Regions from separate parts of the Mus musculus genome. Here regions 1, 2, 3, 4, 5 and 6 are each reported to be linked to region 7. The links are microRNA targets in miRTarBase. Many come from high-throughput screens and were not tested one by one. Region 7 holds a microRNA gene; each other region holds the end of a gene's coding sequence.

Region 1 (4,069 bases), not on the chromosome of region 7:
AGCTTCTGTTTATAGATGGTCTCCCAGCTACAATCAGAGATGCTGGGCATGGCTGTGTTCACTTGAGAACTTCACAAAGGGCCAGTTGGTGACCAAACTGCACAGAAGACAAGAGGATGCCCTATGTATAAATTCCCATGAGAATATTTACCATTTCATTACTCTGTAGACTGTCCTTGCCTAATTATTCCATAAACACGTGGAGAAGCTCTCACATTTAAGTTCCCAGTTCCCAGACATAGCTTTATTTAAATATGAATTCCTCTACATGCTAGATTATTATTGCCAGTTCCATTTACTGCCATAGTTCACTGAATGTTGGAATCTAAGAGGATTTATGCCCTCAGGTGTGTGGCATGGAGCTTTGTGAGATGGATACAAGCCTGTAGAACAGTAGTTCTTAACCTGTGGGTCACAACCCCCACAGGGGTCACATATCAGATACCCTGCATATCAGATGGTACCAGATATTTACATTGTGATTCATAACAGTAGCCAAGTTACAGTTATGAAGTAGCAATAAAATAGTTGTATGGCTGGGGGTCAGCACAGCGGGAGGAACTATATTAAAGGGTCGCAGCGTTAGGAAGGCTGAGAACTCTGCTCTAGAGTGATTTTAAAGGATATCCTTTGGTTCATCTTTTTTAATTCTTTCTCTCTCTCCTACCTAGTTCGAAAGAAGAGAGTTGAAGGAGACAGGAGGTAAAGCCCCACTCAAAGGGGTGAAGTCTCACCGTGCGGCCATCCAAAAAAACATACCCAAAATCCTCTTCTCCACCGGACCATTTGATCCAAGGCTGTTCATTTCCGTTAACCATATCCATCATAACTTTAACTGTTACTCCTTTTTAGCGCTAATTATTTGTCTGAAATATGTGTAGCAGTTTGCCTCGCTCCTGGACACACCTGGTGGCTTGCACAAGTAGGGTGATACAGATCTTAGACAGTGACAACGCTGGAGATGATCTTAACCACTTTCATATTGTAGTTTGTCTTGCTTTCTTTCGTGAACCGTTTTTAGTCATGGAAGGGACTTAGCATGTAGCATGTGTTTGTAGCTGATGACAAAGTGGAGGCCTATCTCTGTTTACATGCATTGCTTTGAGCTAGGCCAGGAACATGGGGAGTGTGTGCTACTGACCACATGAGAAGTTAGTATTGCCAAGCTTTCACAAATTCTCCGTTAATTTCAGAAAAAAAAAAAAATAGTGTCTCTACATGCACATGCCCAACTGATAGATAGATGGTCAGTGGGATCTTCCTTAGAAAGCACTTTAACGTAGCACTGGCAAAGGGACTGTTTAGTGCCCCGTGAGTATATTAACAAGTCACACACTTACCTTTACTTACTGTTAAACATGAATGAAACATATTTGTTAAGGTATGTGGTCCTGGGAATTGTATCCAGAACCCTGTGTGCTAGGCAAGCACTCTACTCCTGAGCTACATCTCCAACCCAAATTATATTTAAAATGATTCTCTAATAGGTAATTATTTACAAAGCCGTTGAAAGACTTTCCAGGTATGATGGGAAATTTTTTAAAGTTTAACCAAAAGAAAATTTCAAAATAGTACATTCCCACATAAAATAACAATAACAGCGTCTTGGGAGCTGGAGAGCTGGCTCAGCAGTTAAGAGTGCTTGCTGCTTTCCCAGAAGACCAGAGTTCAGCTTCAGCACCTGTGTCAAGCAGCTAACTTGTATAGCTCCATCCTCGGGGGACTCTGATGCCTCCAGCCTCTGAGGGCATCCACACATAGGTATACATACCCCCTATATACATACACATGATTAAAAATAGATTTAAAAGTTATGGTACCTTAATCAAAGTTTCTGATACATAATGAATTTGACAAATTTTAAAAGCAATTGTTGATTCATCTTTAGCATAACCAGATCACCAGCTAAATTGTGGGCATTGTGGTTAATTATATAGGTTTTTTGGGGGTTTTTTGGTTTTTTTGTTTTTTGTTTTTTGTTTTGTTTTTTTGTCACATGCAATTGCTTCTTTGCCTTTTGGCTTAAAATCAAGCATTGATTTTTGTCATATATCACAGTAAATCCAGCTATTTGCAAACATTAGGTTAAAAGGAATTGTCAGTTGCTAAGATGTTTGTCACCTCGAAGACAGAGCCTGTGAAGACATGACTGAAGTGACCATGAAGTGACTGATTTCCTAGTACAACAACTGGACAGCATAATGCAAATTTAAGGTACCAAGTGATGGAATGTTTTGGCCCAAAATAATCACTTTTCTCTCCTGTCATAGACATCAGCCACTGTCAGGTACCTGTGTTAGCTGCCCTTCTCACTGCTGTGACTAAATACCTGACAAAAGGAATATAAGGAAAAGGGGGATTCATCTTGGCTCACAGTTTTAGGTTGCCACCAACTGTGGCAGAGAAGGATAGCAGCAGGAGGATGAGACAGTTGTCACATCACTGTCACAGACAGGAAGCAAAGAGAGATGAATGCTGGGGCTCCGCCCACTTTCCTTTCCCCCCTTTTTATTTAGTCTGGAGTTCCAGCCTATGGGATGGTGCTCCCCACATTCAGGGTGAGTTCTCTCTTCTTGGTTAAACTTCTCTGGTAACACCGTAGGTGATTCCAAATCCCATCAAGTTGACAATGAAGATCCTGTCTAGCATCTCTTGTCCTTCCTTTTCCTCTCCTTTCATGACAAAGCATCCTTCTTGTTTCCCTTCTCTCTATGTCGCTAAGTCAGTGGTTCTCAACCTGTGGGTCACAATCCCTTTGGAGGTTGAATAACTCTTTCATGGAGGTCACTTAAGATTATTGGAAAACACAGATATTTACATTACAACTCAAAACAGTAGTAAAATTACAGTCATGAAGTAGCAATGAGATAAATGTATGGTTGGGGGTCACCACAACATGAGGAACTGTATTAAAAGCAGTAAGAAGGTTGAGAACCACTGCTCTAAGTCCTATAAAGGTGATGGGAAACTATCAGACAAGAAAGAACTTGGAGTCAGGAACCTTGGGAAAAAAAACTGGACACTTAGAGGGAGAAACTGAACACTTACTGTGCTATAAATAACCACAGCTAAAGCAAAAATTCTCAGACACACCTCATTTTCTTGGCTCATTTTTATACTCTTCAGGACATAATAAATAGGGTATTCTGACATTTTTTGAGTCACCCCCAAGTGCTTTAACTTAATACTTTATCTCCCTGTCAATCTAAAAATGTATTTGTTTTGTTTTATCCCTTAATCTGATCTTTCCTTCCTTCTCACCCACTTGGGTGTGGTATTGAAGCCAGTTTGTATAGGTTTGCTGGTTTGTTCAGTTTTCAAGAATTCTTTAAATTCTTGCTCAAAATTGCCCTGCTAAAAATTAAGGTGTGGTAGCATGCCCTAGTGATCCTAGCACTTGGAGTGGACGCAAGATCAGTGTTGGCTACACAGAAAGTCTGAAGCCAGCCTGCTACCTGAGACCCCTCCCTCAACTTGAACATGAAGTGGCTTGTACTTACAGTGAAATCGATGATAGTAAAGGCAAAACTATGCTCTTGAGATTCTTTACGTCTGTTGTGCCTGTATGGCATACAGACCGCTGTGCTATAGCACAGGTCGCCCCTGCTCTGCCAGCATTAACTTCTTGGCCATGGTGAGAAGAGTCCTTGGGAATTATCAATGTGTAAGAAAATGGCTCCATTCTTTCCTCTAGATTGTTGGCTGATAAGCAGTCATCCATTCTACCTGGGTGAAATGTATAGGGTGTATTTTAATCAGAATTTTTGGTTACTCTGTTGCCAAAGGAAGGATGCTAAGTGTCTTTCCTCTCTCTCAGCCACAGACTTCTTTAAGAGCAGAGTCCCTAACAAGCTTCCTTTTCCTGTTTTCATTCACTCTCTTGCCTCCATTCCTAAGAAGCCCTGGCCCTGCAAATTATTGTCTGCAGCCCCATATTGTAGAGAGTGGGTTACAATTGTTGACACACCCTGGCAAAAAGCAAGAAAAAAAGTCATATTTAGATCATAGATATTCCTTTTTATAAGGAGTTATTAATACTAATAAGATTGTAGAACATTATTTTTAAATT
Region 2 (4,069 bases), not on the chromosome of region 7:
GCATCAAGAAAGATGTGTTCAGGGGCTTCAGTGTGCCTCAGCATCAGCATCCTTGCGAAGAGAACAGATGGAGCAGGCTGTGTTCAGTTCTGACAAACAGCCACCACTATCTACCCACCAGAATGCTGACCTGAAACAAGAAGTGATGAGGCATGCCAGGGGCTTGATTTTTGGAATGCTTAGCAGTGTGCCCTCTATTCTTTCCAAGGAGACATTTGTATTAAGAATTCACTAATCAAGCCATTTTCTCCATAGCGTTTGTGACAAGCTAAGCTTATTTTTCCCCCGTGTAAGAAACTGACCTGAGATGCTAAAGGAACATCCCATCAGTGGGAGACAAGAGAATGCTTTGGGCTGCCTCACCCTTAAGGAGCAGTTTCCATTCTGAGTAGCTCCCCATTTCCTGGAGGGTGGTTCAGTTGATTTAACTTTTTGCAAAAAAAAAAAAAAAAAAAAAAAAAAAAAAAAAAAAAAACAAACCAAAACCCTGGTAACCTTAATGAAGAGACCCCTGATTGGAAAACAGAACTCACAGATAAAAAGCTTAAAAAGATAACAGTAGCTTCAAAGGAATGCTTGGCCTGCCTGCCCCAGGCCTTAGATATAGGGAAGGGACCGCTTCCTGCCACTCTTCCTTTGCTGGGGAACTCTGCAGCTTTATCTATTCTGCCACCAATAGCCTGAGACTCTGCCTTCTGAATGCAAATAGCAAGAAGTAGGTCAACTCTTTCTTTTGCCTTTCTGAGCTGATATTTTAAGCCATCTCCTCTGATGGGGTGCTGCTAAAGCAGTTCCAATGTTATCTCGACATTGGGAAACTTCCAGATGAATTAAGCTGAGGGACACATTCCTTTTCAGTGTTCAGATAGGAATACGATGCATGTGAGAAGTAATTACTGCTTTATGATTAGAAAATCAGCTCACTTCATCTTTTAAGCAACGAACTTAGGAGATCCAAACACTCCTTCTCCTGTTGTGGGGAGTAGGGCTGGGGCGGCAGAAAGGACCTGCACTCTGGCTTTCCAACATTTCAGCTGACTACTGATTTAGCAATCTCTGGTAATTTGCTCTAGTGTGTGTGTGTGTGTGTGTGTGTGTGTGTGTGTGTGTGTTCTGGCCGATGAAATGGAAGCAGTCAAGAAGCTTTGAGCAATTTCCTCTGATTGCTCGGGGTACGGCTGTACTGATAGTACTCTGACTTCAGAGATTGTTTTCCTGTAGGTCATAAGCACACTGCTTTAGAGCTGTGTATTAGTGGAGAAGAGCAGGTGAGCTGCTGGGGCAGCCGCTGGGTTCTAGGTGCAGGCTTTCGCCACCTGTATAAGGGCAGGAAGGATGCCACCAGTGCTCTTCTCTCAGACTCCAGAAGGCCAGTGAGGACAGAAGTTCCCCATGTCCCCGAGTCCTGGAGTACCTTTTTCAGTCTGTGCTCACCTGAACTTCAGCTGGCTTCACTTTCCTATGCTCATTCTGTCTGGGGGGACGTGGTAGATGGTCACACACAGGCCTTGCCAGCATTTCTGGAGATGTGCTCTCAAGAGCAAGTGGAGCATAAGGGATTCTACCAGAGGGAGGAATGGTTCTTTTTTTTCCCACACCTTAGTTGTGCTTTACTGGAAGAGGTAGAGCAGGTACTGAGCCACTGAAAAGGGTGCCTTATGCTCAGTACTACTGCAGTAATGATGTCTGGCCTGGGCACTGATTAGGATCGAGGTCAGCACTACACAGCCCTAAGCAACTCCTGAAGTTTTCTCCCTCCACCTAGCAAGAGCTCACTGTTGAGTCTGTCTCTGGTGTGCTGTTAGGCCACCCTTACTTGTGGGACCGAACACAAGTTATTCTCACAGTATCTTGTTGGTAAGTTGTGACCATCTGGGCACTGACAAAGAATGGTCTACAAACAGAAACCAAATGGTATCATGTAATAATAGTTGGGAAGGGTGAGATGCTGAAAACAGGAGAGGAGTATGAACACAAAAATGCCTTCTCTGTTCAGTGCCTAAGAGGAGCTGTTCAGGCCAGAACTCATTCTGCCAAGGCACAAAGTGATGGAGGCCAGCTAACCCTGAAGAAATGAAAACGATGGTGTGTTTCCAAGGACCAGAGTCATGTCAGTGCCCTGTTCTCTCATCCATGAAGGGGCAACACTCTAGTGACCTCTGGCAGTCTGAGAACCCCAGCCTGGGCCTCCTCTAGTGATTCTGACAGCATGGCGGGGGATGACATGGTGAATGCTTTTAAAGCAACAAGGACAGGTGACTCCCCTGTGCCAAGGGATAGAGCAAGAGGAAGGAGAGACCACAGGTGGCCTTGTGAGTCACATGTGGTCCAAGCTGTGCCCTGGCAGGCTGCTTTGTTGCCCTACCAACCGATACTTATTCCTGGGCCTTCGATGGGTCAGTGAGCATCTAACAAATTTTAGAACTTAAAAGATTACCAGCTTGGACCTGAACAAATCTATAATGAAATGAAGGACCCAAAGGCATTTAATTATTGAACACATACAATGAAGTATATTTAAAAAAAATGGTCAGACTGTCCTGTTAGTTATCATTTTAAAGGAATTTACAGGGCTGTTATAGATTATTCTTTTGGAATAATTCAGTTTGTAGCAAATGCCTAAACTGGTTTCTTCATTGCACAGTATATTCTCTTTAAATGGGTGCTTAAAACAATTACATACAGATTAAAAATCCGCATTTCTTTGCTTAATTAAAACGTTAATACTCTTAGACAACACAGATCTGAAATGGCGAAACCAGCAATACCCCCTCCCACCTTACAACAAATTAAATTGAGACAAAATTACAAACACATTTCACTACATGATTATTATTAATAAAAATCAGGTTTTTTTTTTCTGTTTTATAAAGTTGCCCGAAATGCAAGGGATGTGCATAGGTTTACAACTTAGTCATAATAGCAATTTATTCTTACTCCCCTGGGTGTGCCCCGTGAACGGAATGTACTTGGCTGTAATTACAGATTGTTTTGTCCAACACAGACACACCGACAGCATAAACGCTCGCGACTGTCCACATGCATTAAGAGTCAAGACCCAACTTCAAATCTCTAAAAGGTTTACAGGGTGCTTCAAAGAGACAGTATCACAGTATCCGCATGTTACATAAAGGACTTAAAAAAAGAGAGAAAACAGGCCTTTAAAAATTTATGACTGTTTTGTAATCACTAGACTAATCATTTCAAATAAATAAAGGAAAGAAAGGTATTCCAATCCATAAAATCAGACTCTAAAAAGAATGTAGTGTTCCACCCCCAGTCAAGGTAACAGAATCATTGTTTATTATTATTAAAATAGATTATAGAAAGCAGCATCTATTTTGTGCAGTTTTTAGGGGCCTTGGAAATAAAAAGCTATGATTTCCAAAAATATAACATTCCAAAGGATTGAATAATACATACATTTAAAGATACATTTTATTAAAGTTTAGGAGAACTGATTAAAAAAGATACTGTCTCTTTAAATTAGTGTGTAATTGATTTTCTCCTCCTATCTATTCGGACATGACAATAATTATAAATGTAGGTCACACTACAACTAGGTAGTCTCTAGGGACCACGACCTGCTGACACAAGGCCGATAACAAAGAGGCTTTTTCCACGTAGGAGGTGGCTCCCAGTTTTATACTCAGATAGCCAAGGAGAAGCCTAATAGACCCAGGAGACTGGGACCCACTGTGGGGCTGTGCACACAAGCTCGACAGCTTCTTCCAGATGTCTGATTGTCTCATCAATTTCGTTGTTGATAATTGTGAGATCGAAGTAGTGTGCATATGTTCTCTGCAAGACATCGGACTCCTTCTGCAGGCGCTGAAGAGATTCATCCTGCATAGGGTGGTATGGGAGACGGGGAGGGATGGGAGAAGGGAAAAGCAAATGCAAGGTGGAAGTCAGTCCGTGCCTTTCTCTTTCTACATTTCATCCCAGCGTTAGAACGGGTCAAAACTAAACAATAGTGGGGTATGAGGCTAAGATGGCTGTGTGACAGAGATGATGGTCACTGTCCTGTGATGGCAGGGTCACAGAGCTCCCACTGGCAACTGTGACT
Region 3 (4,069 bases), not on the chromosome of region 7:
CATGTTTGCTTTTTGGGATTATTCAAATGGTGCCAAAATTCATGCTGGTGTTTTCATTTGTTGCATCTAGCCTTTCTTTTCATTAGGTTATCAGAATGAGTGCATGTGACAAGATTGGAACAGCTCTCATGTATAGTAGAGCTCCATCGGAAACTGCATAGTTTTTTATCTGACTGCTGACAGTTAAATTTAGTTTCTTTCTTTATCTTTCCACCAGGACTTGGAAGAACAGAGTCGGTTGATAGCTGCCTCCAGTAGACCAAACCAGGCTGGTAGTGAGGGCCAGCTTGTTCTTAGCAGTAGCCAATCAGAGGAGAGTGATTTGGGAGAAGAAGGGAAAAAAAGAGAGTCGGAAGCATAAACTTGTTGCTGCTTTTTGAGTTCTCATTTCCCTGGGATGTGGCACAGCGTATCCATGCTGAAGATCATGGAAGAGATAAGCTTTACAGTAGTGTGCTTCAGCTTCATTTAAAAAGACTGAACTTGATAACCGGTTATAGCGAACATTTCCCCGTAAAAATAAAATACTATGCATTGTCATCCAACTCTGCTTTCCTAAACAAGACCTGCTTACTTTTCTGTAGTAGATTGCTGAGGAATTACAGGTCTTCAAGATATTTTTCCTTTAAATTGTGAACATTTTATCTTGCACTGTAATTGGCTGTCTCCATAAGGAATGATTTATTCTTGGATTCTGACATTCCTGTGTATACTCTCCCTTTCATTAGGAATGTTTTATTGGTAGTGAGGGAGGGCTCAATTGAGTGAGCTTAACATCCTTTATGTGGAGAATTCTATAAGTGTGCAAGTGTTGTAACAATATTGAGTGTGCAATAGAATTTGCACAAAATCACAAGGACGGGGCAGGTGGTGCTGTTGACTTCAGGATGTTTTGTGGCTTGCTCCATTTCTCTGATGTACTAGATCATGGCAGTGGGAGACCTCAAGTGTCTGTTGGTGTTTGTGTGGCACTTGGTATTTTGTTACCATCTTCTCAGTTCTCAGGTTGGGACTTTACTTATTGCTGCAGAACAGGAAAGGTTAGAGAGTAAGACTTCAGAATTTATTGAGATTGTTGTTGTTCAAACATTTTATATTAGAATTGACATGTAAAGGGAGTGTTGTAGACTGATACATTGTATTTTCTGTATTGTGAAATAATTTTTAAATGACAATGAGTGACATTTCAAAAGATGTTCTATAACAATTATGTTTATTGCTTAAATAAAAATGTGCAGTTTAGTTTAGAAAACAATCTTTTGAATTTCAGACTGATAACCCCAGTATTTTCATAATCCCACATTTTGATAATGTATTGAATTGCCACTTTTTATCCATAAAGGCAAATAACTAATTTGAGTGTAGAATAATTTGCACTAATAATTGTAAATACTTTTACTTTTCAAATGAGTAAAAGGTCTAATTCCATGAAAGACTGAAAAGGAACTGAACACCTCATATAGTGCAGGACAGAGTTAGCGTGTACTGAGGGTGATTCTGTCAAAACTTTCTTTACTAGGACTTTAAACTGTGTTTACAGATTTTATTTTCATTCATTCTACATGAAAAGGTGTGTGTGTGTGTGTGTGTATATATACACACACATATGTATACAGGTTAAATATATTGATTAGTATTTTACATAGTCATACATTTAGAGATTTTCAAAAGGTTAACCACTAATTTCACAAGTAGTTTCTCTTTGTTCTGAATTAGAAGTTTTAGTTTTCAGCTTATAGCTCCGTTTCACACTCTGTAAGTACACTGTTTTCTGTAGGAACAAGATAACGATATATATAGGATCATATTCTTTTTCTCCATTTGCCAAATGAGACTAATGGTTATTTACTACTCTTCAAAGTCTTCTGTTACCCAAACATACAGTTAATAATTATCAATTTATGGAGTGCATTTGGCTAAAAGTCTGTTTTGGGCTTACTAAAGGGAATGCCTTCATAGTAAGTAGTGTTTCCTCTGTTAAAACTGTGAACTGCTGTGGTTAGACCGTGATTAGTGGTGACAAGTCTTGCTTTTAAAACTTTTTTTGATATTGGTAAGGCTTCTTGTTTTGTTGTTGTTGTTGCTATTGATTTTATTTTGTTTTTGTTTGTTGATTTTCGCAGTGATCAGTTACTAAACTACCACAGAGCCACACCCCCACCCCAGGTTTTCAGTTTCATGAATCTTTTCTTGATGGAAGACGTCATGCTTGCTTCAGATGAACTGTGTTTTATAGTAAGAGTAGTCATCAGGAGGCACTTTTATTTGGTTGGTGCTTTGCATGGTAACAAAATAGTGATATTTGGATAAAAATTTAGGCCAGAGGTAAGAATTTTCTAATTCTTTTTAAGTCATGTTTCATAGGAACTCCCCCAGTTGTGTTCATGTCCATGGGTCAGACCAAAATGTGTTCCAGTGCCTAGGACGCATTCTGAGTGGATCAGTCCGTTTCAGTGATTTAACTTGTATCACTATTAAACTGTATGCAATTCTGCACATCAGCTGTAGTCAGCTCTCTGCTTGAAGAAGGCTCCTGTCAGCTTCTTCCTAAATGTTAGTACAGATGTCATTCTGTTATACTATCCGCCAAGATCTCCCACAACTTTTTTATTTTGGGGGAGGCACAGAATTGATTTTCTTGTTCTGAGTTTGGGTTCATTCCTGTCACGGTCACTGAGCCAAGGCAAGTAGACCTTGCCTCTTCAGTCTTAGTCCTGCGGGCGTCTGCTCAGATTCTCTTCCATATTCAAAATGCCCTGGAAAAGCTTCACTGTTTTAATACGTCCTAGATGTTCAACTGAAGCAGAGCGAAGAAATGGCCCTCCCAGCCCCATCCACCTAAAACAAAACCAGCAGCTGCTGCTACAGCCATTATGAAAAAATAACACAAACTCTTCTTAAAAAATAGATCACACAGAAAGAACTGAGGGCAGATGCACCTGGGGGGAGGGGGGGGAGGGCTGCCCCAGCCACGGGGAGAGGCCTGGGTGCTGAGATGACCCTGCAGGGCTGGGGTGCTAGTAGGTGGCTGCCTCCTTCCTTCTGCCTAGCCTCTGTAGTGTGGGCTGGATCCCAGGCATCTTCTGCCCTCTCCCCTGAGGGATCCTGGCCCCTGCTGAGGACTGGTACCTATTTCTCATTAAAGTGGCTTTGATCAGGAAATGAGATGGACACCAAGCATGAGTGAGGGCCACTGCCTGGCTACATGTCTCCCAGCTTTTTAGAAATTAACAAAGTTGCTTTTTAAAAAATGAAATTTAGCCTACCTAATTATACTCTGCATTCTGTTACCTATAGCTAATCTTGTTTTTTTCCATTACTTAATGATTGATTGGTGTTCAATTTCAAAAGTGTTCCAAGCTCCACAGTGTTGGGATGAGGATGTTGCCGTTATTTTTGAGAAAAGGATCGTAAGATGTGCATAACATTGTAGGTAGCATGGTTTTGTGCAGTGAACACACAAGTAACTACAGGAGCTGCACTCTTCACAGTTTGAACTGACAGTGCTGGCAGACCCTTAAAGCAGAGTCTTCTGACACACGAATGAAAGGAAATATTTGCTTCTAATAACAGTCTGAGCATTTAGATCATACTTTTAAGTATTTAAACACACCATTGTATATGGCAAGCAAACTTTTAATTTTATTTTTAGCAAGTTTATTTCTCTTTGAAATTGTCATTCTACATTAATAACATAAAGATTTTAAACTAGAACCATACTGAACTTTTTTAATGATAAGATGAAATGGACTTTAAAGGAAAAATTATTTAAAACTTTGTTAATAAGCCTCAATAGCATAAAATACTAATGTTAATCAAAATACTTCTAAGTATTTTTAAAGTACTTTAAAAATCTCCATCGGGCTAATTCCTATGTATTTCTTTTCCAGGAATATTATTCTTAATAGCATAAGCTTATTAAGACTAAATGGAAGTTGAAGGATTAGGCACACCTAGAGCAGTGGCTTCACCGTTTGATTCTCATTTCTCTGTGGTTTCCACCTCTTATCAGGAGCTGCCCTGGAAAGGATCCGGTCATGCTGCCTGCCTCTTTTCATCTGTCATGATG
Region 4 (4,069 bases), not on the chromosome of region 7:
TGAAAGACACCCAGCTTGTTACACCGATGCTGGGCTCTAAACTCCCGTCTTCATAACTGTAAAACATTGCTGAGCCACCTTGCCAGCCTTTGATTTCTTGCTTTTTGAGGGTTTCATTCTTTTTTTTGTTTTGTTTTGTTCTGTTTTGTTTTGAAATTGGGTCTCATGCATCTCAGAAAGCTCTAACCTTTCTATAAGCTTTGAATTCTTTAGCTTTTTTTTTTTTTTGGTTTTTCGAGACAGGGTTTCTCTATATTGCCCTGGCTGTCCTGGAACTCACTCTGTAGACCAGGCTGGCCTCGAATTCAGAGATATGCCTGCCTCTGCCTCTCAAGTGCTGGGATTAAAGGCGTGCACCACCATGCCTGGCTGCTTTTTTAAATTTTTAACTCCGTGTATTGTTATTGTGTCTATACGTGATAAGTGTGTGAGCACAGGCTCAGGCAGTGTGAATGTAGAGGTCAGAGGTCAACTTTCAGGAGTCAGGTCTTTCACCATAGGGTCCAGGGATCAAACTAAGTTGCTGCACATCTGTGTGTAGTATATGTGCCTAAGCACTTACACAAAGACTAGAAGAGGGAATCATGTGTCGTCCTCTGTTTCTCTCTATCTCTATAAGGCAGGGTCTCTCCCTGAACACCAGCACATGAAAAGTCCCCATCCACGCTTTCCTCTTCAGGTCTTCCCTCTTCAATTAACATACTTAGGATAGGTCTTCCCGCCTCAATTAACCCAATTTAGAAAGTACCTCACAGGCACAGCCAGAGATTCATCTCTAAGGATTCATCTTGACCCTGTCAAGTTAGCAATCAATATAAATTATCACACCATATAATCAACCATTCTCTTGTTTCTCTGCTAGGCTGGAAGCCAGGAAGCCCAGTCATCCCCAGTCATCCTGCTCTCTGACCCTCTCCGCCAAAGTGACAGGCCTGCAATAGATTCCAGCCTTGTTACATAGGCGCTGAGTTCCAAACTACAGTCCTCGAAATGGCACAACACTCCCTCTGAACAGCTGAGCCATCTCTCCACCCTCTCATTTTGAAGCCTTTAAGCTACCTCTTTACCATTTCCTGGTCCCTTATACTACCTCATTTTTCCTGTGCCACCCACCAACTCCATCCCAAATACTTGATTTTAAGTGACCCCAAGTCTAAAACAAGGGTTCTAGTTCCAGGTTACTGCCTCCTTCTGGTGTCCTTGACCTGACCCACTTTCTTTGATGGGGACAGGACACAAGAAAATGTTTAGTGGATCTTCCCACTTCACTTAACCTAATCTAGAAAATGCCTCACAGACCCAGGCAGAGATCGACCTCCAAGTTGATTTTATATCTGCCAAGTTATAAATCTTATATAAACTGTAACACCGTGTAACCAACCATCCCCCTACTGATGTAAACACCACAGCAGTGACCATCTTTATATACATGCCCTTGCTTAAAGACTGTCAGATAAGGACATCCTTGAATAAAACCATTGATCTGGTTTAAATATGCTCAAAGTACTTTGCCAGTACAGTTTTATTACTTTAAAACATTTGAGATTAGTTTTCCCTTCTGCATGAGAGCTGTTATCTCTAATGGATTTTGTTAGATGGTCTCCCTTCCATACCCACCTAAGAAAGCCAGGACCTCCACAGCTAGCTAGAAGCAACCTAAACAACAAAATTCATACATGAAAAAACGGTACCACAGGTTTTGGTGTCCTCACTAACAGATGTCCTCTGATGTACACAGTTGCTCCCCAATGCAAAAAAATCTTTGAACAAAGCTACCTTTCTGCTCACTTAATATTTTCACTCGGGGTCTATTTAATTTGATTCTGTTATAGATGGGAGCCAGCACAGATCAAGGGCACTGGGCAGGCAGCTGTAAGCCAGATGAAACTGAGGTCCACCGGCTTGGAAATCAATTTGGTGACGACTGTCCTCCCAAAGAATATTTTGCTGACTATATAGATTGCTGCAAGAGCTCTGCCTTCGTATGTCCCAGTCACCGGTTGTTCTTCTGTCAGAAACAGCTCCAGTTTCCTCCAGGAATGGAGAAGTTGTCTGAGTCAGTTCCCCTTGAGCACACAACAGTCAAAGTTTGCCTTTCGCAGGGTTTCCTTTTACAGACAGCAGGCTGCTTGCGGGTAACCTTTTTCTTCTGTAAGAAGAGTCTGGCAGTGTTGGGCACAGTGCTCCTGAACTCTCCACGCTTCTGCTCCAGCCTTCTGAGTGCTGGAATTAATTACTGGACTGCTCTGCCATGCTCCCACTCATGTCTTAACAGAGGCAGAGGAGAGTCCTGTAGAGATACATGTTATAGAGAGGTAGCAGGCACAGAGAGAACCTTCATTTCATGTGTGTGTGTGTGTGTGTGTGTGTGTGTGTGTGTGTGTGTGTGTGTGTGTGTGTGCAGGTTCATGTGCATGTCTCTTCTGAGAGCAGAGGACAACCCCCATGGACATTCGCCAGATACTCAGTCCATCTTACTTTGAGACAGGGACTCTTGTGGACTTGGAACTCAGCACCTAGGCTAAGCTGACTGCACGCAAGCCCCGGGGATCTGTTGTGCCTTTACCTCTCCATCTCTTGAGTCTACAAGCATGCTCTACCAGGCCTAGCTTTTTCATGTGGGGTCTACGATCAAATATAGATTCCTCGTGCTTGTACAAAATGCACCTCACTGTCCGAGCCTCATCTCCAGCCTCCTGCTGTCTCTATGTTTATTTTCGTCTTTGGATTTTGAGACAGTCTTACCAGCATAGCCCTGGCTGACCTTGAACTTATCACCCTCCTGCCTAAGGTTCCCAAGTTATATAGTGTTAAGCATATGCCACCTGGCTTTTTCTTAATCTTTCAAGGTCAGAAATCTCTAGAAAAGCTACCAACTTCTTTAGATTTTCAACATCAACAAAGAACCTCACCTTCCTATCTTAGCCCTTTATTCCCCCTACCTGTTCAGGAGCTTTGCAGATATACCACAAACCTCTATGTCTCAAAGACATCACACTAACCATTCCTAATGTATGAAAGCACGAGTGAGCTTCAACACGCATGATTGAAGTCTCTGGAGTGGGAGATCCGATCCCTGAAACTCAGGGATAAAATGGAGCATTTCAATGTAGCATGAGTTACAGTCGAATCCCCTTGTGAGTTAATTATCCCCAGAAAACTGGAACTCTTTTCTCAGTGGCTGTGGTCAGAACCTCCAATGAGGTTGCCAAGTGACATATCACATAGTTTTCAAAAAGGGAAATACCAAAGTCAGAAATGAAGGCGAGCCTTTAAAAGTGGCAGTCCAGAGGCGGTCAGGATGGCTGCTGGCTGTTGACGTAGCAGTAGTACTCATTTGAATTCTCCACTTCATATACGTTCTCCTCGATGGTGTAGATATTTTCCTCAGAGCGAATCCTGACTGCTCCTGCATTTGCCAACCCTCCTGGAGGCAAGTTGGCCAGTGTAATAAGGCTGTAACAATCAAATGATGAAGTTGATAGAAGAATTTCCCAGACAACAGGGAATAGAATTCAAAGCATATACTTCACTAAGGACAGCAGCTAGTTGACATTCATGGCCCTTCACTACATGCTCACTGAAAGAAACCCAGACAGGAATTTGTGGAACAATTAAGGACATGTAATTGGATCTTAATTGTCTTAGGTATGAATGCCATAGGTCCCAACTCTGAGGAGGCAGAGGCCAAAGTGTTTGGGATGTGTCAAAATGTATCCAACATAGTTACAAGCGGTTGAGAGAAAGCCCTGTGCTTACTGAGAATTAGACAAGACAGATGTTCCGAGTGTCAAGTAGGAGGTGAAGATGAAGGGATTGAATGTCCCTTGAACTGTTATTTCAACCCTCTGTGTGCTCACCTTTTGAGTTTCAAAAGGAAACTGTGATTGTGTTATAGATTCAACACATTTGGGTAAACTCGTTTATTTGGTTTGGTTTTTTGTTTGTTTGTTTTATTTGTTTTGTTGTTGTTTGAGGTTAGTTGCTTGGTTGCTCATTTGGCTTGGGGTTTTGAATGGTTTTCAGCACTATATTTTATATTTATTATACAAACTATGGGTTTCACGAT
Region 5 (4,063 bases), not on the chromosome of region 7:
TTTCCATGAAGTCACATGGCTCTAGAGCTTCAGTGAGCCATCTTGACGTGGGTGCCAGAACCTCTGTAGAGGGAAGCAGGAGTGGGCTGGCCTAAAGCAGTGAACGGGAAGGGAGCCGAATGGTATAGGTAAGTTCAGTCCACAGACCTCAAACTAGGAAGCACACAGCAGGTGGGGACGGTAGCCAGCGAGTGTCCTGGTGACACAAGTGGCCTTGGCAAATGCTCTAGAAACAGGTCCCACCAGCCCTTCTCTTACCCAGGACAGCCATTCAGCAGTACCTCAAGAGGCAGCAGGATAATATTTCTCTCAACACTGAGTTGTCAAAGATACTCTTTCAATTTAAGGAAAAAAAAATTCTTCCCCATCTGCTGCTAATACTTCTCTAAAGATGTGGCCAACTTACTGGTGAGTCTGATTTTTCTCAGAAGCCAGCTGCTTCAAAAATGGGTTTGATGGGTATTTTCTTAGAGTCCAATCTTCCAGGCTAGCATCTTAGGGTATCTCACCGGCAGCAAAACACTCATTTCATCAGAAAGGCGGCAGAACCCAAGCACTGAATGCCAGAAGCCAAAGCAGAAGCCGCCTTGTGGGAAGAGAACCAGCCACTACCCCTCCTTTATCAGGAGCTGAAGCAATTCATGGCATGGCAGGGCTGTCAGGGATAGGGATGTCAACACTTTCAAGAACTTAAGACATTTAAATAAGCGGAAAATAAATATACAACATCTCTACAAGTTACAGCATTATGAAACAGTAGGGCACATTACACAGAAGAAGAACCTATGGTATTTACAAATCCTTAATTATGAGAAGTTTGGAAAAACAGTGATTTTTTTTTTTTTACTCATTTATGCTGTACAATATTTTACAAAGAAAGGTAAAGGGAACACAATTGCACAGAGACATTTGGCTCAGTTGACGAGTGAAACATGACTTTCTAATCTAATAAATAGTCAAAATATATACAACACTGGAAGGAAATAGGAGAAGCAGACATTACCCATTACATACTTTAATAGAGAGACTTTAAACTGATTTTTCAGACCCCTGCCCCTTCCCCCAATTCATCAATTCTTTTCTGGAAAAGAAATTTGAAGAATCACTCAGGACACCATTTTGTATGTTTATTACAACTTGAGGTGAAGTCACAGGACACTATTTACAAACCTCACATGGGGAGGTTGTCAAGGCACAAAACCCGCATTATGTTTACACACACACACACACACACACACACACACACACACACACACACACACACGAGGGGGAGGGAGATCTAGTTTCTGTCCTACCAAAAACGAGAGAGAATATATTTAAGTACAAAGGCCTACCCACAGTAAGCAGGGGCACTGTCTGTCTGCAGGCGACGTTTGCACTCTAACAAACAGATACAGTACAGGGACATCCAGTCATGTTTACGTTCTGGGTGCCGCATCCTGTTCTTGAATACTTCTACAATTCATAGAATCTCTTATTTCCCTATGAGCTGCTTCAGCGGCCAGCCCCAGGCTGGAGGTAAGCATGCGTTGGGGGCCACACATGTCACTGGGACCTGGCTCTGGAGCTTCTGCACCTGCTCAGGCACTGCCACAGAGCCATGGGGCTGAGACAGTAAAGTGCTCCAGTCGGGGAGACTGGCACATGAGAATGGAGGTCCTAGGAGGGGGGCATGGCCCAGGACCAAGTATGTCTTTGGTGTGTGTGTGTGTGTGTGTGTGTGTGTGTGAGAGCCATGGTTGCAGTTTTAACACCAACTTATAATAACCACAGGGCCTCATGGGAACCATGAGCAGGCTCAATACATCAGGAAAGGAGGAGAATGCCAAAACAGCTTTCAAACCACACCAAATCTAACGAAGCTGGGAAATGTATAAGGATATTTGGAATCAGATGATCTCAATCTAGAAGGAAGCTTATAGGTAATATACATATACATATAAACACACACAACCACGCATATGCACACACACACACACATGCACACACACACAGAGGAAAGTATGAACAAACGGATTTCTCTACTTCATAACATAAGAAAAACCACTGGCTTTCTACAGGCCAAAAGCAAACAGTCGTTGGCACTGCTGACTTGCGAGGAAACTCATAAAGCTTCCTGAGCAAGCTGCCTGACGTCTGAAGTTCTCAGAAGTGAGAGGGCTTGCCATCCCCACTCCTCCCATGCTCTTTCCTCTTGGTCCTTTTTTGTATCTCCCCTGGCTGTCTGCCTACACGTGTGCCGTTTGTTTTGGGAGGAGCTGGAGCTGGGCCACAGCTCTCCACAGGTTAGAAAGTGCTCCTCCACCAGGCTGTGCACTTCCAGTCCTGCCTGGTCTTGAAATAACTGACCAAATGTCTGGGCTGTGGTCCTAAGGGGCAGGGACCAAGAAAGAGCACCTCACCCCCACCCCAGACACAAGTAAGCCCAACAAGATCCAAGTATTAAGAAAATGGAGAGAGCAAAGCAGGCAGACATCTTGTGGAAGACAAGTGCTTTACTCGGCATAATGGAAGCTTCCTATGTCTGGGAACTGATGGAAGTAGAGCCAGCCCCTAACTCAAGGGAATAGAGATGAAATTCAGGAATCACAGGCCAGGTGGGGTGAGCAGGGCTACATCCCAAGAAGCATGGAAAAGGATCACCTGAGCTCCTTGCTCCTGAAATGACCTGGCCAGTCCCCGAGAAAGCGTGGGCTCCAGCTCACCTGATACACACAGCAAAGCAGAGCCTGTGGCGGCAGCAAAGCCAGCAACCAGTGGAGCTAGCGGCTTCAGCAAGCGGTGTGTGAGCCCACGTCCTCTCAGGATAAAAGAGGCAAACACAGCCACCGCAGTGCAGTGAAGCGCACGAGAGCCCTTCCCGTGAGTCAGCTTGATTGATGGAGCTGGGCACAATCCGGGCAGCCCCTAGCCCTTGCTGACACAATACACTTGAAGATACCCTGGGCTGAAGCTGCGCATCCGTGTGGAGACAGACCGAGGGGTCTGAGGAGTTGAGGGAAGCAGGAAAAGTGTGAATTTCTGCTACAGGAGCAACTGAGCTAAGGAGGTAAATATTTACAAAGTGGAAGTGGCGTACCAGAACAGAACCTCTGCCGCTCGAACTCATTCCATTTCCTAAGAACTGTTTTGGTAGTAATAACTCAAAAGGAAACTCAAAGAGGCCATGGCAGAGGAGAGAGGGCAACACCATACTCTTCCTGTTTAAAAAATTCTGTACAGTAATTTCTAAAAATAAACTAAGGCAGCCTTATAAATCAGCTGGCTCAGTTCCCACTGCAGGGTTATGGAATCCTCTGAGTAGGTAGTGGGTTAAGAATTTGAGTATAAAAATCATCCATAAATTGGCTAAAAAGCTTTACTTTCTGAAAGAAAATGAGACAAAAAAAAAAAACCCCAAAAACAGTTATCAAAGAAAGTGGGTTTAAAAAAATTAACACGCCACATGTAAACACCTCTCTTGCATATTTCTCTGTTCCTAGGATCTGTACATTAAAAAGAGAAAAGCCCTCCCTTGTTTACATTCACAACAAATATTTACTGAAAACTCGGCCATGTGGTGATGAACAGAGGTTCCGTTCACATCGACACAGTGCAGAGCGCTGTCCATGCTCAGCACATCTCTCTGGGATAGAACCACTGGACACACTGTCGCAGCACCAAGAGAGGGACATGACGCGTGGGGGTTCTCCCAGTCTGAACAAGAGCCATGTCCGCCACGTATCCTGGCTGCATGTAGATCCTGTCAATGCCTTCTCCATACCAGACGGAAGATAAAGCGTAACAGTTGTAAGATAACCATTTGAGGGTGGTCTTCAGCCTCGCGGTAATCATTTGCAAACACCTGCAACAACAGAAGCAGAGTTCTTAGCAACTCTCTCGTAATCTGGAGAAGGCGCGTATGCAAGGCAAGAGACATAGCCCATCTGAATTGCAGGGAGACTCAAATTCCAGGGGGGAAGGATGTGACATCATGGAGTACAAGTGTACCGAGTGAACTCTCCATCACTGGGGAAACAGAGCGAACAGAAGACCAAACTATTCCAAAGCTATCCCGGAACTG
Region 6 (4,069 bases), not on the chromosome of region 7:
ACAGGAAAATGCAAGAAACACCTGTATAGTCAACCAAAGGTTCCTTTTCACACACACACACACACACACACACACACACACACACACACGCATACACACACACACACACACACACACACACACAAATGCTGAGAAAGAAATACATAATACTTTCCCAGCTGTTTGAACTATCTAATAATAACCATTACAGTAAAGTGTGAAATTCGTTGCTTCTAAATAACACAAGGCACAGATGCAGAGAAGAGAACTGCATATGTTTTGCATTATTCTTGTGACAGGCTGCTAGAAGATCACCAACCTGACTTTCTCTTCTTCCTTTCTCATCCCCTTTGTGGATGAAGCTAAAGTATTCTGGCAAGTAGTATGTAGCTAGTTACAATGAATGCCTCTCTCCAGGTTGAGCACTCTGACACTCACACCTCTTAATGCTTCATTTTCCTCCTACCAACCGAAGGGAGGAGTTCTTGGCCTTTGGTTGCTTGATCAGGAATGCTGACCTGGGATTCTTACAGTATCATTAGTTGTCTTGTATACACTTCCATTTTCAGGCAGGTGTTAGCTAAAACAAATGTTACTGAATATTCTCATGTATATAAAAGTAAAATCCACAGAGAAGTTTTGCTCAGTTAGAAACATTCTTACCTAAGTGGAGGAACCTTGATGATACTGTAGTGTTTTGGAATAGCCTCATGTTCTGGTTTCAGTTTGCCTTTTTTTTTTTTTTTAAACACAAACTTCCCAGAGATTTTAATTAAACAGTGTTTTAAGTCCCATTATTTTTTTCTTTTTCTTTTGATTTTTATTAGATATTTTCTTTATATATACATTTCAAATGCTATCCTGAAAATTCCCTATACCCTCCCCCAGCCCTGCTCCCCTACACACCCACTTCTGCTTCTTGGCCCTGACATTCCCCTGTACTGGGGCATATAAAGTTTGCAATACCTAGGGGCCTCTCTTCCCAGTGATGTACATTATACACTTAGAGATGAAATGAAAGAGATGGCAATTCTTTTTCTTTAGGGTCCTATGTTAAGAATAAATCTTAGGCAGGTTGATGGTGGCACACCCTTTAATCCCAGTACCCGGGAGGTAGGGGCAGGTGTATCTGTGTGAATTTAGAGGCCAACTAGCTTACCCAAGTTCCAGGACAGCTAAAGTTGGATAGAGAAATCTTGTCTGGACAAAATGAAGCAATAAAATCTAAGAAGTCATTTTATGTGGTTCCACTGGAGTGCACAAGATGGATCTTGAGTGGCAGAGAAACTATCCACAGATATATAATGCAGTATAACTCAGCAAGGTAGCATGAGTTTGTGTGTCTAGCTGCTGAGGCAGTAAGATGGTTTGAACCCAGAAAATTAAGGTCAACCTGGGGAGTAGAGTAACAAAGAGCTTCTCAAGGAAACAGGAAGGGGACGGGAGAATAAAGGTATAAGGAGCAAAGGAACCCTGAGTTGAATGAAATCCTGAGTGAATGTGGAGTGTTGTCATGGACATAGCCACAGCAAGGATTAAGGCCTCAGAACCATGGGAAATTGGCAAAGTCTTTCCTCATAGGGCCCAAGCTTGAAATTGGCAAAATCTTCCACTGGCCCAAGTACAAGTATTTACGAACAACTGGCCTGTTTGCGCAAAAACCTAGCAAATGCAACTCCCTCCTCTTAAATGTTTGTAGCCTGAGACTGCTGGGCTGTATATACCTCCTACCCAGACTAGCCCCCCCTTTCCCACGCTCCTCCCAACATGCTTGGGTTGCAGCAGGTGGAAATGCCACCCCATAAGAGTGGCAGCACCTCACCTGGCCCCAGCTTTTGTGTACATATCTGACATTTATATATTACCCTCATCACCCTTAGATAGGGTTTCTGGACCAAGCTTTGCAGGTCACAGTAGGAAGGGAAGAGAAGAGCAAAGAAAGGGAGGGAGGACATGTAACTGCTTTTAGTTTACCCAGGCTTTGCACTGCTGCTGCTTAAGATCCAATTAGCATCTTTCACAAACCATTTCCTCAAAGGCAAAAAGCAGTATCTACACAGTGAGGTGAGGGCTGGCCCAAGTCTTTGTCCTTTGAATAAAAGTCACATACACATACACCATGTTCGACCTCCTCAATCTCACCCCTTGAAAGATACAGAATAAATGGAAATCAAACTGAGGAGTAACGGCATGGCACAGAGCAGAATGACATTAAATGTTTTTATTGAAGAAAAGAAGGGAAACCATGGACATCATAGAGCAAAAGCAGCTTCCCAGGTGAAGCTGTTACACTTTGTGCTAAATAACCTCATGAACCAAGAGTGTACAGAATACAGAATCCACACAACAGGTAAGTTACTTCAACAGCAAAGGAGAAAAAGAGAATATAATTCTTTATGGTAAAATTTGGTCAAGTGATAAATTTAGTTGCTCAAAATTTCTAGCCCTTATCCACCTAAATTCAGTATGGTTTGAAATATATGCATTTAATGTGTGCATACTGAATCCCCATTTTTCATGGAAGCTGCTTTTTAGAAGAATTTTGTTTAATTTCACATTTATTTGACCTGACAGTCAATTTTTAAAAATTTGTATTTGATATAAGTATGTGTGTGTTCATCTATACACACTTAAAAAAAACCCCAAACCAATTCTTATAAGCAGAGGGGTCATGCTTTCCCCCACAAACTAGTGTTGGTGAATTTCAGTTATTTCTCCTGTGTGTCTTAGAAACTTGGTGTGTTCTCAATGCACCCACACAGTCAGGTGGGTTGACAGATGTGTCAAAAATACTTTATGAAAAGAGGGAGGTAGCTCATGCGAGTTGGCAACCTTTTGTGTACTGTTTCCTATTGGAGCAGGCTGCCTCCCTTTGACATCTTACAGTTAAAGATGAAAGGAAAACTTCTTCACTTTGAAACCTAGTGAGCACAGTTGTACATTTACTATAATCCACCTTCAACTTGGCTTATAATGTAAGATGAGGAATCCCTTACACTCAGTACACAGCATTTAGAAAGTACTGAAGAAACACTTTGTAGACAATACTTTTTTTGTTTTCATGTTAAACATCAGCTTCTATGGGATATATTTCAAGGATGGTTTGTTACCACTTTATAAACATTCTAGGCCATACAAACATCACAAGTAACATCAATGTCAATTTTTTTTCTGTATCAATTACTGAAGGCTAACTCTAACATATATGCTACTTAAGGGGGGAAAAGAAGATAATCATGACACATTGCAAAGATAGGAATATAGCATCTTAATTGTAAGGATGATCTTAGGGTCCAGAAAGAGGGGACTCTCTAGAAGGTGATGGTGTGGCTTCTTCAGGTGGATAAACTGTAAGTGTACAAGCTCGAATACCACCAAGAGACTCTGGCAGATCGAAAACCTTATGCCATTCATTTTTCTCTGGATCATACTTCTGCACTATCTCTACCATACAGCGATTATTCCATGAATAGCCACCAACCACATAGATTTTATTCTCAAAGACAGCGACCCCAACATCACTCTGCCCTCTTAACATGGAAGCAATTGGGGTCCACTGGTCAAGGATAGGTGAGTAGTATTCACAGCTCAGGACATCATCATAATCACTGGTTCCTCGGAAATGGTTGCCACCAATGACGTAGAGCCTATCTCCCACCGTACACATGCAGTGTAGGCCTCGGACAGTGGTCATCGGTGCCTTCTGGGTCCATTTGTCAGTATCAGGGTCGAAGCACATGAGCTCCTTTTGGAAAGTGTCATGGGTAATTCCTCCTAAAGAATGAAAAAATAGGCATGAGCAAAAGAAAATGTAAAAAGTGAGGCTCTCTCAGAGATGATTAACCTTTCCTACATTTTACAGCATATTATAGCTTATAAATATATAGCTGTTGCCGCCCCATATTCTTTAATAACAACAACAAAGAAAAGAAAATCTTACGTTTAACTATTTAAAACAAGTGAAAATATTATATTATTACAGCAACCTTCTCAAATGAAGAGCCATCATACTTAAGGAGTGTCAATAGATGGAAATATATTTTGGCCACTATTAGAGTTAACTGCATAGTAAAATCGAACTACAAAGCAT
Region 7 (4,069 bases):
TGGTCAGGGTGAAGGTGCGTCCCAGCAACGCTGACTGAGCTTTTGCAAAGACAATGTTTGTGTGCTCTGCGTCCTAGTGGCCAGATGTCTTAGCCAATGGTGATGGGAACTGACTAGACCAATCCAGCAGGGCCAATCCAGAGGAGAGACTTGGCAGGAGACTTTGTGTTTTAAGGTGGCTCCTCCAGTGTGAATTTAGGGAAAATATTCAAAGGATCTGTGGCCACTCTCAGATGTTTGCTTTAAAGGGGGCACTTGTGGGGCTAGCAGGATGGCTCAGAATTAAAAGCACACACTGTTCCTACAGAAGACACTAATCTGGTTCCTAGCACCAGTATGATAGCTCAGCCCATCTGTAAATCTAGATAGACTGAGACTGACTCCCACCCACAGTCACCTAGCACACAAATGATGCACAGACATGTATGCAGGTAAAACAGCCATACACATGAAATAAAAATAAATACATCACATTAAAGGGAAAAAAGGGAGAGGAGAGAGAGAGAGAGAGAGGAGGGATGGTTGTCTCAAAAGAATTAAGACCATACTTAAACCACCCTTTACCTGTTTCCTAAGCTTATTCTGTCTTTCATTCTTTTCTGTTAATTGTATCGGGTGAGGGGCTAATGAGAGCTAGCTGTTACTAGCTGAGTGTGCTCTGCTGTCGTTTGGATGGGGTTTTCCCCATTGCAGCTCTGAGCAGAGCACCTGGTAGGCTCCTCGTCATATTTGCCCTAGCCAAGCAAGCCAGGAGCTCAAGGAAACACCTCTTAAGTGTTTCCCAGTTTGGAGGTTGCACACACATCCCATGTTTGGCTGCTATTATAGGCCAGAAGTTCCTAACACAGTTTGACTAAAATACATCCACTCTTTTCATTTGATGTAGATCTAACCTAACTTGTGCAAAAAATACTTATGCAAAGATACACAGTGATGGCAAATGAAATGCTTCTGTTGTTGTAGTTCTTCTTGTGCTCCTGCAGTACCAAATCTCGGCCACGAGCCACTTGTGAAATTCTGCCTTCTTCATTTCTAACCCTGTGAATAATGTCATTCATCCTGGAATGGAGTGATGGGTTACGGAAGGACAGATCAGCGTGACCTCTCTAGTGACTACAAGCCACTACAATTGTCCTCAGAGATGCCCGAGGTCCTCTGAGTCTCTGGAGCCCTTTTTATATATTAATACAATGACATCAAATGCTATTTTCGCTCTTGCCCCACAGTTGTACAGTGGAGTTTCCCAGAGGCTGCATGCCACAAGATGATGTCATCACTGCGGCTAATGGACATTGTGTTATGCATTAGTAATATTGTGCTTTAAAAAGTCCTTATTGTATTTAATGAAATCACATTTATTGGCACTATAATAAATGCTGGTAGACAATCCATCCAAACATACGGTTCTTGCACTCTTCAGTAGTATTAAGAATATAAAGCACACCTATAAGGCAGCTCAGAGGGTAAGGGTGCTTGCTGCCAAGCCTGACAACCTGAGATCAGTCTCTGGGCACTACTGGGTAAAGGAGAAAATTGACTCCTACGAGTTGTCCTATTATCTCCAGAGATGAGATATGGCATGCATGGGTACGTATGTGTGTGTGTGCACATATACTACACACACATACACACACACACACACACACACACACACACACTAAAGAGAAGGTAATAAGAATATAAAGGAGATTTTTAAAACTGTTTCAGGAGTAGAGGGGTCTTCCTAAGGTAGACTTTAGATAAATATGGTAGTGACTGCCTGTAATCTCAACACCCAGGATGTTAAGACAGGAGGACTGAGTTCAAGACCAGGCTAGACTAGAGACCCCTGTTTCAAGCATGGGAAGGAGTTAAAAATAAAGAATTTCACTAAATTCCTTCAGTTTTCTGCATGAAAATTTCTCAGCTCTTTTTTTTTTGCTCCACCCCACTGTTAAGCACTCTCTTGTGATATATACATTTAATACTTCAATAAAGTTTTATTTGCACCTATTGCAAACCCCACCTTACCCCCCAGATAGTAGTAAAGTCTACTAGTAGTATACCCATGTGGACTCAGCTGAGTAGAATCCAGATGCCACATTCTTCAGAAGGGTTTTCACAGCCCAGAGCAAAAAGTATCCAATTGTCTATTTTCTTCAAGGAATATACCGAGGCTTTCTGAAGCATTTATACTACCTAGTCACTTCGGATCCTACTCTGTTTCTCCAAATATGAATTTCATGTCAGCTTAAACCTAACATGGCTCTCAAACGCCAGTTTTCACCCACTACTTCCACTCATTAACATACTTGTGGTGAGCACCTAATAAAAAGAGAAATGGCAAACTCTAGTCACAAATATAAAACACAAAGCAAACTCGAGAAAAGTTTTTGTATATTTTTACAACTCGGGGAATTTTTCCTCACCCAAATCTAATTACCGGGAGCCTAGGAAGGAAAGTTCACATCATAATGTATGATGAGAAGCGTTTCCTCTAATTATACAAACATGATACAAATAGTTCTGTGCAAAGTGCTTCACTGGATAAATATTAGCATGCCATTATCATCGTTCACTGACTAATCTGGGCACTGGCACTTCTCTGCAGACTTCGTAAAAAACAAGGGAAGAGGAAACGAGGTCATGAGTGAGTCCTGCTGCACACAGGAGCACCCTATGTATCTCCATCTCAACTCTCTAATCAGATGAGAAGCATGCATGCTGCCCATGGCTTCTCGATGAAGATACTGATGCTCAGAAGAGGTCGGTACTTTGTTCAAGACTGAAAGAGAAAACTGAAGCTGGAGCCCATCCCATGCCTGTCTCTGTCTACTCTGGTGCCCGCTTTCCAGCAATCTTTTTTCTTAAGAACCCTCACCCGAGGAAGCATGTTCCAATACCAGTTGACCCAGAAATCAGAGTTGTGAAGGCTTCTTCTGGCGCTGTTTTGCAGCACTTGTGTGTTTTCAACAGGCATTCTTAGTGGACCAACAGAACAAACGATACTGCAGTTAGCAGTTGGCAGAGCACTGTGACAAATGATACACTCTTAAAAGAAATTAGAGAGCAGAATCTACAGTTAACATTGCTTTGTCTCGAGACCAGCTCCCCTGTACACCATTCTGATATGCAAAAGCCAAGCTGTGTATAATGTCCCTTGTATGTATATTTCCAGGGCTGTCCATTTGGTATTGGATAAGCAATTTCTCCTGTTCTCCGCATTTTGTAGGTCTTTGTGTAGGATGGAGGGCTTTCCACTGCCTACTTCAGCATGTCTAGTGTTGCCCTTGTTCAGCTCATGTTTAGATGTTATGGATATAGTTTCTAACTGAATAGGTTGTATTTATGTTTTTAGAGATATACCTACCTACCTACATACATACATACATTCCTAATATGTGTGTATGTGTGTAACAATAAATAATGATAAAAGAGGCGATGAGTTTGAAAGAGCACAAGGCATTGTGGGAGGGTTTGGAGGGAGGAAGGGGATAATGATGTAATTATATTATAATCTCAAAAAGAGGGTAATTTTTTTGAAATGCTTATATATATATATATATATATATATATATATATATATATATATATCCATGGGACATTCATGGGTCCAAGTCAAACTTCTGCACTCTGGGCTGTTGAGGAAGGGCAGGGTCTGCGACACCGACATGCATTTCTATGCCTAAACATAACTCCAGGTCAAATAATGGTAGGCATATCATTGTATATCTGTTATGACCAAACTGGAATTTTTGAAAAGTCTAGAAGGTGATGCATCAAAATGATGAGCCTCAAAAAATTAACTCTGGGCAGTATAATTTCCAACTACAAGATCTTTTTGTAATTGTCCTACTTGTTCCAAAATTATTAATATATAACATGGATAATTCATAAAAATGGAAATGACTGGACTCTATGTAACATATGGTTTTAATAATTTCACTGTCAGCCTGATAAGATAGCTCAGTAGATAAAGCATTTATGCATAAGGATCGGTGTGCAGACCTTCAAATCTACACAACAGCTTGGTAGGCATCGTGGCCACTTGTAATCCCAGCTCTAGAGAGGCCCAGACAGGGATTCCCAG

The links. The annotated mature microRNA mmu-miR-466i-5p reads UGUGUGUGUGUGUGUGUGUG and lies in region 7 at 1,634-1,653, opposite strand. An mRNA with a match to its seed (bases 2 to 7 or 8) in the 3' UTR can be bound and repressed. Matches are read on the target gene's strand: a 7mer-m8 pairs with bases 2 to 8, a 7mer-A1 pairs with bases 2 to 7 and ends in A, and an 8mer does both.
Region 1: miRTarBase lists Tmod2 as a target of mmu-miR-466i-5p. Seed matches in the 3' UTR shown: 7mer-m8 at 1,330-1,336.
Region 2: the mRNA of Cask is a reported target of mmu-miR-466i-5p. Seed matches in the 3' UTR shown: 7mer-A1 at 1,106-1,112, 8mer at 1,104-1,111, 8mer at 1,102-1,109, 8mer at 1,100-1,107, 8mer at 1,098-1,105, 8mer at 1,096-1,103 and 12 more.
Region 3: the mRNA of Appl1 is a reported target of mmu-miR-466i-5p. Seed matches in the 3' UTR shown: 7mer-A1 at 1,597-1,603, 8mer at 1,598-1,605 and 7mer-A1 at 3,456-3,462.
Region 4: miRTarBase lists Havcr2 as a target of mmu-miR-466i-5p. Seed matches in the 3' UTR shown: 8mer at 2,394-2,401, 8mer at 2,392-2,399, 8mer at 2,390-2,397, 8mer at 2,388-2,395, 8mer at 2,386-2,393, 8mer at 2,384-2,391 and 19 more.
Region 5: miRTarBase lists Bcl2l11 as a target of mmu-miR-466i-5p. Seed matches in the 3' UTR shown: 7mer-m8 at 2,782-2,788, 8mer at 1,722-1,729, 8mer at 1,720-1,727, 8mer at 1,718-1,725, 8mer at 1,716-1,723, 8mer at 1,714-1,721 and 8 more.
Region 6: the mRNA of Klhl13 is a reported target of mmu-miR-466i-5p. Seed matches in the 3' UTR shown: 7mer-A1 at 2,698-2,704, 7mer-A1 at 2,589-2,595 and 8mer at 2,587-2,594.

Annotation. Positions count from the first base shown.
Region 1 is chr9:75,570,726-75,574,794 of GRCm38, reverse strand. Tmod2 (tropomodulin 2) reads left to right here. Exons shown (of 10, transcript NM_016711.3): 10 at 672-4,069. The coding sequence ends at 706. Among named protein-coding and RNA genes, the nearest start is that of Tmod3, 13 kb to the right of the region's middle.
Region 2 is chrX:13,518,502-13,522,570 of GRCm38, forward strand. It overlaps Cask (calcium/calmodulin-dependent serine protein kinase (MAGUK family)), which reads right to left. Exons shown (of 27, transcript NM_001284503.1): 27 at 1-3,846. The coding sequence ends at 3,670. Among named protein-coding and RNA genes, the nearest start is that of Gm34836, 49 kb to the right of the region's middle.
Region 3 is chr14:26,920,020-26,924,088 of GRCm38, reverse strand. It overlaps Appl1 (adaptor protein, phosphotyrosine interaction, PH domain and leucine zipper containing 1), which reads left to right. Exons shown (of 22, transcript NM_145221.2): 22 at 218-4,069. The coding sequence ends at 361. Among named protein-coding and RNA genes, the nearest start is that of Asb14, 27 kb to the right of the region's middle.
Region 4 is chr11:46,478,674-46,482,742 of GRCm38, reverse strand. Havcr2 (hepatitis A virus cellular receptor 2) reads right to left here. Exons shown (of 7, transcript NM_134250.2): 7 at 1,488-3,456. The coding sequence ends at 3,297. Among named protein-coding and RNA genes, the nearest start is that of Havcr2, 26 kb to the right of the region's middle.
Region 5 is chr2:128,158,012-128,162,074 of GRCm38, reverse strand. Bcl2l11 (BCL2-like 11 (apoptosis facilitator)) reads right to left here. Exons shown (of 4, transcript NM_207680.2): 4 at 1-3,844. The coding sequence ends at 3,746. Among named protein-coding and RNA genes, the nearest start is that of Gm14009, 9.7 kb to the left of the region's middle.
Region 6 is chrX:23,217,100-23,221,168 of GRCm38, forward strand. It overlaps Klhl13 (kelch-like 13), which reads right to left. Exons shown (of 10, transcript NM_001381892.1): 10 at 2,186-3,753. The coding sequence ends at 3,266. Among named protein-coding and RNA genes, the nearest start is that of Klhl13, 150 kb to the right of the region's middle.
Region 7 is chr3:28,417,528-28,421,596 of GRCm38, reverse strand. It overlaps Mir466q (microRNA 466q), which reads right to left and starts at 1,654; the gene lies at 1,579-1,654. All of the region lies in intron 2 of Tnik (TRAF2 and NCK interacting kinase), which reads right to left.